2 linked regions of the Caenorhabditis elegans genome follow. The protein of the gene in region 1 purifies or fractionates together with the protein of each later gene. This does not show direct contact. Each region holds a gene or a part of one and is shown in the gene's direction. Other genes may lie near its edges.

Region 1 (5,368 bases):
ACCAAGTATTTCTTGTAGATTCTCATGAAAAGATCATAAACTATTGTAGGTTGAGCCTTATAGCAAGCTAAATGAGAGCTTATAGAGAAATGTGAAAAATATATATTCGTGTTTCTAGAAACGTTTCTCTCTTGGTTTTATTTTTTGGAATTTCTAAACAGGAAAAACTATGCCAAGTCTTTTGATTGTCTGTAGAAGACGAACACCAGTTATCACAGAAACTGGTTTTAGTTGTTCTGCGAAATTCGTATTGTCTAATAAATTAGTATCATATGTTTTTTCTTTCTGAATTCATGCTAGTTTTCGATTTAGAAAACATTTTGATTGTATATTTAACTGAAAACATTTTCTCGGCTCGTCACCAAATCCCCGAAATTTATGACATTTTTGCCCATCATAGTTTTCTACAGGCCTGCTCAATTGTTCCATGTCATCCGCTCATTTCTGTTGTGCAAAATGTTCCACCCCCATCGAAAACAATAGAGCTGACAAGTTTAAGTTATAGTCGATCAACTTTCTTCGTAAAAGTTCATTAGATATCCATTTCTAATTGGAATTGACAAAAAAAAACGTTGATTCTCAGGACAACGTCACAGTTTCCAATCTGATATCCTATATCTCTAATAGAAAAATTCCCGAAATGCGGGTCTTGGCAATTGTCCATGAAGGGCCCTTAAAAGATGCGATGCTGAACAATTCAATGAATTTTCTTGCCATGTCAGAAATTTTTTAGCAAACACATTTCTGTTGAACACAACTTTTCCTTTTTCTTGCTGAAATAATCCTATCAAAACGCTCTATCAGTTCTATAAAATGGCAAATGAGAATAAAACAAAAATGTGAACACATGACATTTACAGGCAATTCATATCAGAGATTTATCGGAGCCCATTCGCTCGTTCCGATGTATTGCTTTGTTTTTGTTTCTTCTCCATTGAATTCCATCAATTCCCGCGAAAAAAAACATCACCTGTCACCTTGGGCGTCGCGGGCGCCCATAGGGACATCCTCTTTTCCCTTCAATGTCACCTCTGCGTCTCATTTCTTTCATCATTCTTGGCTCGATTTCACTTGTGTGTGTTGTCCGTCTGTCTCCCGCCCGTCGTTTTCTGCTGCTTTTCGCGCCCTCTCTTTCACTCCCCCACTGTGGTCGGTTGTGTCACTGTCTTTCTTATCGACCTCTTGGTGTCTGTTCCATCATCTTTTGTTGGTCTTGTCATTGGGTTTTGTTGTTTTATGTCCTTTTTCATTTGACAAATTCTGCAGGAAACAAATTTCGCAAGTATTCGCTCTAATTGCTGTTCAGATTGTCTCTGTGGATTTCGATTCACTAATCCGGATTTTTGCTCCCTGGATTTGTTAGTTCTCGTTCCTACATGGAGAATTTGAAAGTCTGTCACTCCGAATTTTGAAAATTTAATCGCCAAATTGATTCCACTTATTAGATATTACCCAGACGCGAAAATTTTGGATTTTAGTGCCAAAAATTGTTATAGTTTGAAACTACAGTACTCTTTAAAGGCGCACACATATTTCTATGCAATACATAATTGTCGCATTGAGGCCAGATACCGTATTTTCGCCCATAAAAATTGCGACATTTCGAGTCTGGGTAATATACAAAACTGTTTTTGAAATTTTCAGCAACACACAGCATATTTAATTTTATTGAATAAACATTGAAACTGATGGAAACAATTTTCCGATGGTAATCCAATGATTCTTGTTCTCAATTCACTTGCTGTTTGACTTGTTGCTTATCTTTCATTTCGAAATGAGCATTAAGTGTTCCCCTCCAATAGATTCTTTTGATTACCTCATTTCTCTATATACTCTAATTTTATCTGTACAATTGTACTTCTTTTTCTTCTTTTTCTTGTTGTATACATGGTTGTTGCAGAGCACAAAGGGCAACCAGACTCCGCCCATTTCTCAACTCTCTAAGTACCTTGAGAGGTAGTTAGAGAAAACGAGAAAACTACGAACGAGATCAGTTTATCAGCCAATCTGTGTGTTTGTTTCGAACGAGAGCAACTACCCGCTAGTCGTGGAATTGTGAGCTGTGAGTTTTTTGTTTGAAAAAAGAAGTATAAATGTAATACTGGGATCATAACCATTTTTTTGTATTTTCACTACTTTTGGATTAAAAAAAAAATGTCATGTTTTGGTCATTTCCAATCAAAAGTTCATTTCAGAATAAATTGGATTCCTAATTCAATTAGCCTCTTCCTGTCCGACCATATCTACGCTCTTCCAATCCATTAACCCCCGCCGACTGTGTTCGAACAACAACTACGACGAAATCAAATTCTTCTCTTACTAAATACGCCTAAAATAATGGGAATTCTTGATCATCCATCATCATCATCCGGTCAGTGTGGAACTATCTTTGAAAAAGATATTTTAAAAACTATATAAACATAAAAGAAAAATCTGCCCATTATGGCAATGAAACGCTTCGTTGATTGATAAATTGATGAATGGAATGTTTTATGATTAGTGACAGTGTTATCGTTTATATAGCGCCTAAAATAAAACTTTATGAGGACCCTATGGACTTTGATCGTGGGATGCAGAAAAAACTAACATAACACAAGTAGTTTCTCTTATCAGATTTATTTATCACTTGGATCCGATAAAAGATATGTTAAGATCCGTGGGCGCCGATGGCGCTCATTTATCAAAAATGTTCGAGGAAGAAAATCTGCAGAAAAATCTATTTTCTAGTTGTGATCAGGGCTGAATCCAAAATATTTTCTTTGTTGACAAACCGAGAACGATTAAAAAAAAAATTTCCATACTTTAATAATTGCGAGTGTTTTTTTTATGGAAAACAAAACTTTAAAAAGCATAAAATTAATTCTTCACCAAAAACATGAAAAAACAACAAAAATGCGGAAAACTAAATAAAAAGAAGCTCAGACTCATAATCATCAATATTTTCAGGTATCCAATCGGGTGGTGGTACATTTGGAATTGACTGGGCAAAATGGTTTCCACCAGTCACATCTCGATCCTTCCTTTCTCACTATCTTCCTGCTTCTGGAGCACTTTCACACACTCTTTACACTGTGCATTTGTTCAGTCCAAATATCATTTCAAGGTAAGTGTCTACGAATCAATTCTAAATTAGTTGTTTGTTTTTTCAGTCTGTTTCCGACGGGAGATCTTGCCGTCAGCAACACGATTCTGTTCAATGCCAACGTGGGACTCGGATTCTACGTGTATTTCAGAAGACACCTTCACCGTGTGAATCCATGGGAGAGAGTTGAATTCAGGTAAATTAACTTTTTTTTGAGAAAAAGAAAGATTCCAACAAATAATGATTTTTCAGTGTTCTTTCATCTACGCTGTTCAATTTTGGAAGTCTGCTTGCCGCAGTGCTCATCAAAGCATTGATCCCAGCAAAATCGCCAACTTGGCTCAAATCTCTGACAGCTACCGTACTCAGTGGATACCTACTGTCTCGAGCTGCAAAATATATGGGAATTCTCGACCATCGATCAAGCAGAGGTTCCGTTTCGCCGGCTAGAAGGTAGGCATTGTGCTTATTGTGAATGTGTGATTTTGTGTGCAATTACTGTGTTGAGTCATTTAACTTGTAATCAAAAGTTATAGAATCATAGATTTGATTTGAAAATTCAATTGGTGAAAATTCTTACATCGTTCTCGTTGTTTCTAATGACAACCGAGCAAAGTGTCCAGAACGTTTTAAATTATTGAAAAAAAAACTATCTTACAAAATTATCAAATTTTGACAATAATTATAGCCAAACCTGGATTAAAATTACATGATTTATTCAAATGAGTGGATATATTTAGAATACCTTTGTTCATTTGTTTAACATTCCAATTTCATAGTACTCGTTATTTCTCTGATTTCTAGCGTGCTGTCAAGACGGCAAACCGCTTCCCGTTCTTCTCATGCTGCAGAAGTTACACCTCCACCAGCATCATATGCTCCAGAAACACCTCGTTCAGTGGCTTCAACGTCATATTATTCTCCATCAGAACTGCATTTGGACACTACATCATCTGTTCAATTGGAGACTCCACCACAAAGCCATGAATCTGGATCTTTCATGCCAATGACACCTTCTGCCACAGAACATTCATCGTCAGAATTTGGGCAAGATTTGGAAGATGCTGGAGATAGACATGAAAATTATCGGTACCTTCACTCATATGCATTGAATAATTTGAATCATAGTCGCCCGAAGAAGGAAACGATTTTAAGAAGGACTACGATGAATCAGAAAAATCAGTTGGCCACACCACAGAAGCAATTGAGACGATCTTCGGAAACAATGGCTCCCATGTGCTTCGTGACTCCTGAACCATCGTGGAAAGAGCTGGATGTTGGAGTTTATACACCACCGCCGTCAAGAATGGATTTTACACCACAAGCCTCGAAAAAATTGACGAAGTCTTCAAAATCTGTGAAAATAATTCAAAAGAAGTCCCGCCGAATCCCGAACGAGAAGGATGATTTCGATCGATTTTTAGACGCAGTTCAGTGGCACGCCCCTTTAATTCTTGTACCAGTTGCATTTGGATGTTGGATAACTGGCAGTGTGCCAATTTTGAGCCCAACTTTACGATTTATTTTCGCATAATTGTTTTTTATCGCATTTGAATCTTCGATTTTTGAGATTCAAAAGTTTCCTCCCCCGTGTTTCATTGGAAACTCCGCCCCTCAATCTAATATTTACCGGTAGTGCCTGTTTTCTAGTGACCAAAATTTTTTGTTTTTATGGAAAATAAACATTTTTTTTTCTTAAATTTCAATGATACAACGGACGAAATAAGAATTTTCACCAATAAATTTCAAAATGCTTGAAATGTTTTGTGTGCCTTTAGTTTGCGTTTTTCCCGTTTTCAGACGACTCAATTTTTAGCATTCAACCTTCGCCACAACCATCGAATGGACATGCTCAAATAAATGGAATTCAACTCTAAATACTTGCATTTCTCCTTATTTTGTTCTCGTTGCTCCGTATTTTTCAAACTTTCAGAATTTTTTTGTCGGCTTTCTCACAATGCTCATGATACTCTTTTCATGGTAGTTTTTGTCCCAGATTTTGGTCTCGTTTTTTTATTGTATTTTCCGGTATTTTCTATTATATACATACATATGTTCAATCATAAAAGTTTCATGAAAAAGTAACGTTTATTAGTGAGAATAGAAATAAAAATGGAAACATTGTCTCATATTAAATAACTGAACATTTTGGGAAATGAAAATGAAAAATTTTGTGACATACAAAATAGAAGGCAGAGCAGTTTTTGAAGGTTCAAAATATAAAAATCAAATTGATTAAATTGGAAATGAAGAATTATTAAAAAGGCAGAACTAAGCGTGAAGTCG
Region 2 (5,395 bases), 7.8 Mb from region 1:
GTCAAGAATACCCTGAAATGGATCAATTAAGCATCAAAAACATTTTTTAAAAAATTGGAATTTTTACTTGAAAATGAGAAGAATCTCGAAAAAAAAGCTGAAAAACTGAATTTTCGCGATTATTTAAAAGGAAAATTAGATAATTTCAGCAGAAAAATAGCATTTTTTGCATAAAAATGATGTGAAAATGTATTTTCTCCGCGAGAAATGAGGAAAGTTAGCTGAAAATGGAGAAAATTTGGGATTTTTCAATAAAAAATCTTGAAAAAAAACGCGAAAAATCGAATAATTTGTAAACTTTTTAGTGAATTCGACATTTTTCCGCCGAAAAAAAAAAGCGAAATTTGAGGATTTTCGAGTGAAATGTAAGAAAAAAGCTTGAAAACTAGCTGAAAATTGCATTTTCGGCACTTTTTAGTTGAAACTTTTCGAAATGTTGGGGTTTCTAGCGAGAAATGCGCAAAAATCTCTGGAAATCGGATTTTTATATTCAAGATAGCAAAATTTGGTATCTTTTTTGCGGGAAATGCTTAAAAACAAGCAAAAACGACTTTTTGGCAGTGTTCTCTCGAAAAATCTATAATTTTCGCTGAGAAAAGCGTGAAAAATCGATTTTTCAGCGATTTTTCATGAACTTTGGGCACTTTTAAGTGACAAAATATATAAATTGGAGGATTTTTAGATTAAAAAACCCCATTTTTCAAGGAATTCGAGCAAATTTCCACAATTTTCGACAAAAATCAACGTTTTCCAGTACCATATGGATGAGATTCGCAGCGTGCTCCAACAAAGCGGCCGCCAAGATCACAACGGTGTTCGTGTTGTCTCCGATCTGTAATTTTTCCCATTTAAATTTAAATTTTCCAGTTTTTCTATTGAAAAACCTGCTTCTCCTGCATCTCGGTGGCCATAATGATGATACGGGCGGCCGGATGCTGAATTTCGAGCTCCTTGAGGATGGTGGCGGCGTCGTTGGTGACGAAGAGCTTCTCGATGTGGTTAATCACCATTTTGTTCATTCCTAAAGTGGGAAAATTGGGGAAAAATCATATATTTAATGTGAAATTCTGCAATTTTCCGTACCATTTGGTCCGTAGGCCGATCGAATCTGCGAAGCGAGCTCCGTACAGGCCTCGATATTCCTCTGAACAGCCTCGTCGGTTCCTTTGAAGTGCTGAGCTCCTTCCTTCATGAACCGGTTGTAACCGGACTTTGGGATCTTCATAGCCATGATTTACCTGCAAATTATTAGATTTTAGGGGCAAAATCGAAAAATTGTGTAAAAATTGAGTAAGAATGAGCAATTTTAGGTGAAGTTTTAGAGATTTTGGTCTAAATTTTAGGATTTTTAGATTGTTAGTTGTTTTTTCAGCTTGAAAACTTCAGAAAATAATATAAATACGGCAAAATTCACTTTGAGAAACTTCACGATGACAAAACACTTCAAAATGGGAAATCTAACCCAATTTCCGGTTTTCTGGCCCAATTTCCCACGTTTTTCACCGATTTTAAGCTTGAAAATCACGATTTTTGCTTGAAAAACCAAGAAATTCGGCGAAAAACTAAAGAAATTTCATGGAAAACACTGGAAGCGGCGAACAAAATTTGAAATTCGGAAAATTCGCGAGCATTGAAATTGCTGGCGGGTCCCGCCGCGATTTGCCGCCACGGGAGATGTGGGGTACGGTGGATTTTGATGTGTGTACACCATTTGCGCGTCAAGTTCGGTGTCATTGCGGACTTGACAACAATTTTTTTATTTTTTTTGTTGGATTTTTTAATTTTTAAAGTGGTTTTCAAGGTTTTTTTTTGAATTTTTTTGTGGAAAATAAATAAAACAATTAATTTTTCACTAATTTTTCAGAAAATGCCAGTAATAGTTGTCAATGGAGATTCGGATTTTGACCGCAAGTTCTCCGCGGGCAACGGGAAAGCGGTTTTTGTGGATTTTACAGCATCCTGGTAAGGCTTTTCAAGGGATTTTCAGTGTTTTAAGCATAAATATATCTTTCTATATTCTCCAGGTGCGGCCCATGCCAGTACATTGCGCCGATCTTCAGCGACTTGGCCAATCAATACAAAGGCTCCGTTTTTCTAAAAGTTGACGTGGATGAGTGCCGTGGAACTGCCGCCACGTACGGCGTCAACGCAATGCCCACATTTATCGCATTTGTGAACGGGCAGAAGAAGGCGACGATTCAAGGAGCCGATGAGAGTGGACTGAGGAGTATGGTGGCTAAATATGCGTCGACTAGTGCCGCATGGTCTGGAACTGGACAAGTTCGTAGAGAAGATCGGAGAAAAAACTGAATTTTTTACCTGAAAAATGACTTTTCTCGCTCAGAAAGGCTGAATTTTCCCGCAATTCTCTGACAATGCCCAATTTTTTAGACAGTTTCCGCTTAAAAATTCACAATTTACTCTCCACACCCCCTAATTTTAGCCCAAGAGTTGGCAATTTTCAAGATTTTGGTTCGAAAAATCGCAATTTTCACTCAAAAATTACCTATTTTATGTGGGTTTGCTCGAGAAAACTCAAAATTTTTCGCATTTTCGTCAAAATCAGCAGAAAAAATATTTCTCTTCAGATTTCGTATTTTTTCATGCAAAAATTGAATTTTACTACGACGATTTTTCATCCGAAAATTGAGTTTTAGCCCCAAATTTTCACTTTTTCACGAAAAAAGCTTAACACTTCCAGTTTAAAGACGAAAAATTCCGGAAAATTTGTGATTTTCTTGTGGAAAAGCCCAAATTTTCGACCTAAAACCGGATTTTGACACATTTTTATTCGCTGAAGTTGAAAATCCATTTTTCAGCGAAAAATCGAATTTTTCAAGAAAAAATTGAATTTTCACGCAAAAAATCGGCTATTTTGCTTGAAATTTCACTTAAAAACCCCATAATTTCCAAATTTTCGCACAAAAATTACAATTCACACCCCAAAAACCCTAATTTTAGCCAAAAAGTTGGCAATTTTCAAGATTTTGGCTCAGAAAATCATCAATTTCTGCCCAAAAATTCTCAATTTTCTTGTTTTTTGCTCGGAAAATCACATTTTTCAACCAAAAAGCTCAATTTTCAGCTTAATTTTCTCAAAAAAAAAAAAATCGTATTTTTCCACCAAATTGGTAATTTTCAAGATTTTGGCTCAGAAAATCACAATTGTCGCCTAAAAATGCAACACTTACGCCCAAAAATCTGAAAAAATTTCAATTTTCCGTGGGTTTGCTCGAAAAGCACGAGATTTTCCGGATTTTCGTCTGCAAAACTTTTTATATTTTTCGACGAAAAAAACACATTTTTACTAGTAAAAAAACCTGGAAAATTGAAAATTCTACATTAAAATGCTAAATTTTCACAAAAAAACTCAATTTTTCCCCTAAATATTTAAATTTTCAGCGTCTCTCCGGCTCCACGACCGGCTCAAGCTCTTCCACGTCATCATCAGCTCCACCAAGAGCCTCCGGAGCTGCTCCACCACCCGCGGGACCAAATCCTCTGGAGCCAGTTTTCCGCATAATTGAGACAATTAACGAGCGCCTACAGGGATTCGGGATTTCTGGAGTCAATTTCGCCGGTTTTCAGCTTCAACCATTCCATTTGTTGCTCGCCATCGCACTTCTCATCATTTTCGGGCCATTTGGGCTTCTGATCGCCCTTGCCGTCTGCTTTTTCACTCAACCACGTGGAGGAGGACCGGCTCCGGGAGCTCCGAGAGCTGGTGGATCGGGAGCTGGCGGAGCACCAAGACCACCACCACCAGCTGGACCAAGAGCTTTTGGAGGAAGTGGACAGCGACTTGGAGGAAATTAATTTTAAACATTGTGAATTTTCTTGAGGGTGGCGACATTATTTTGATATGAAAATTGATTGAAAATTTGAATTTAGACCTAAAATCCTGACATTTTCGCTGAAAATCATGAAGACTATGTTTTTTTCCGGAAACTTTTGTCGAAAAATTGACTTTTCTATGGAAAAAGCGATAAATTATCGGATTTAAAACCTAAAATTTGTCTAAAAATTGATTTTTTCTGTCAATAATTGTGAAATATTGCCTGAAAATGATTGAAAACCGAAATTTTCGTCAACATTACTGTCTTTTCCAACTCAAAAATTTATGATTTTCACGGCGAAAAATTGACTTTTCTTCATAAAAATCCGTTTTTCAGCTTGAAAGCGGTGTTATTTTGTGAAATTTCAACTGAAAAATTGACTTTTCTATGTGTAAATCAATTTTTTTTGTCTAAGAAAAAATCATTTCTTCAATTTTCGACACTTTTAAAGTGTTTTAAGTGTTAAAAATTGATAAAATTATATAAAAATCAATTTTTTTAAACTAAAATTTTAATTATTTCTGTGAAAAAATTCACTTTTTCTACATTTCTACGTCATATAAAAACTAGAAATTCCTCTTTTTTGTTTCAATTGATTTTCAACTTTTGTTTGACGATTTTCAGTATTTTTTGCTCAAATTTTCACCAAAACAGCTCCAAAACCTTTGAAATCTTGTCGTCACCCTAAAATACCCCCAAAATGTGATTATTTTACACTATTTTCCCCCTAAAATATGTACTTTTTGTCCTAAATATTCCCCATTTTTCCCCCAATTTTATTGCTGTATATTCTTAATTTAATTAATTAATTATTTTTTCCACATTTAACTTTTTTTTTGTAATTTTCCGTGTAAATAGGCTAAATTCCAGACATTTTCCTTACTTTTTTCCCCAGATTTTCCAGATTTTTCAAAAGTTCAAAAATAATTTTCAGCGAAAAAAAATGCTCAGCAGAATATGCGCTCCACGGCACATTTCTATCGCATCGACGTCATTTTTGAATCCTCAAAATCGGTGTGAAACGGTAACATTTGAGAGTTTTTGTCCAAAAAAGTTGAAAAAAACCAAAATTTTCATGATTTCTAAGCATAAAATACTAAATTGCAGGCAATTTTTCGATTTTTTTCGCCAAAAATTGGCTAATTTCTTCCAATTGCTCACAAAAATCAAAATTTGTCATAGAAAACCTGGAAAATTTTGATTCTTAATTTTTTTAAAAACATATTTTAACATGCAAACGAGGAAAAAAACAATTTTTCTCAATTTCTCAAAGAAAATGTGTGTTAATTTTGAAAAAAGCCCACATTTTTCATTAAAAAATCCAAAAAATATGAAATTTTGACCGTTTTTACTGCGGCGAAAATCATCAAAAATTGAAATTTTTAGGCTAAAAATCTCTAGTTTTTCCTAATTTCCCCCAATTTTCAGACAATTTCCCGTCGAAATATGAGTGCTCTACCACCGGCCATCGCCCCCGCATTTCAATATGCTTCAGATTGTTATATAGCACAATCAATTCAATTTGGAATGGAATCTCTTCATGGATTAGGGCTCTCATG

What was found.
Region 2: the proteins of C09G9.1 (region 1) and Y55F3AR.2 fractionate together in Caenorhabditis elegans (co-fractionation; one large-scale study listed by BioGRID). This does not show direct contact.

What each region holds. Positions count from the first base shown.
Region 1 is NC_003282.8:8,862,016-8,867,383, reverse strand, and holds C09G9.1 (Rhomboid domain-containing protein), read left to right. Parts: upstream 1-1,900; 5' UTR 1,901-2,062; intron 2,063-2,195; 5' UTR 2,196-2,337; coding exon 2,338-2,371; intron 2,372-2,946; coding exon 2,947-3,103; intron 3,104-3,149; coding exon 3,150-3,278; intron 3,279-3,334; coding exon 3,335-3,535; intron 3,536-3,886; coding exon 3,887-4,616; 3' UTR 4,617-4,779; downstream 4,780-5,368. Other genes in the region: alp-1 (PDZ and LIM domain protein Zasp), read right to left, coding at 5,354-5,368.
Region 2 is NC_003282.8:1,092,683-1,098,077, forward strand, and holds Y55F3AR.2 (Thioredoxin domain-containing protein), read left to right. Parts: upstream 1-1,858; 5' UTR 1,859-1,867; coding exon 1,868-1,962; intron 1,963-2,024; coding exon 2,025-2,280; intron 2,281-3,402; coding exon 3,403-3,816; 3' UTR 3,817-4,660; downstream 4,661-5,395. Other genes in the region: cct-8 (T-complex protein 1 subunit theta), read right to left, coding at 758-832, 885-1,021, 1,084-1,231; cox-18 (Cytochrome OXidase assembly protein), read left to right, coding at 4,780-4,860, 5,265-5,395.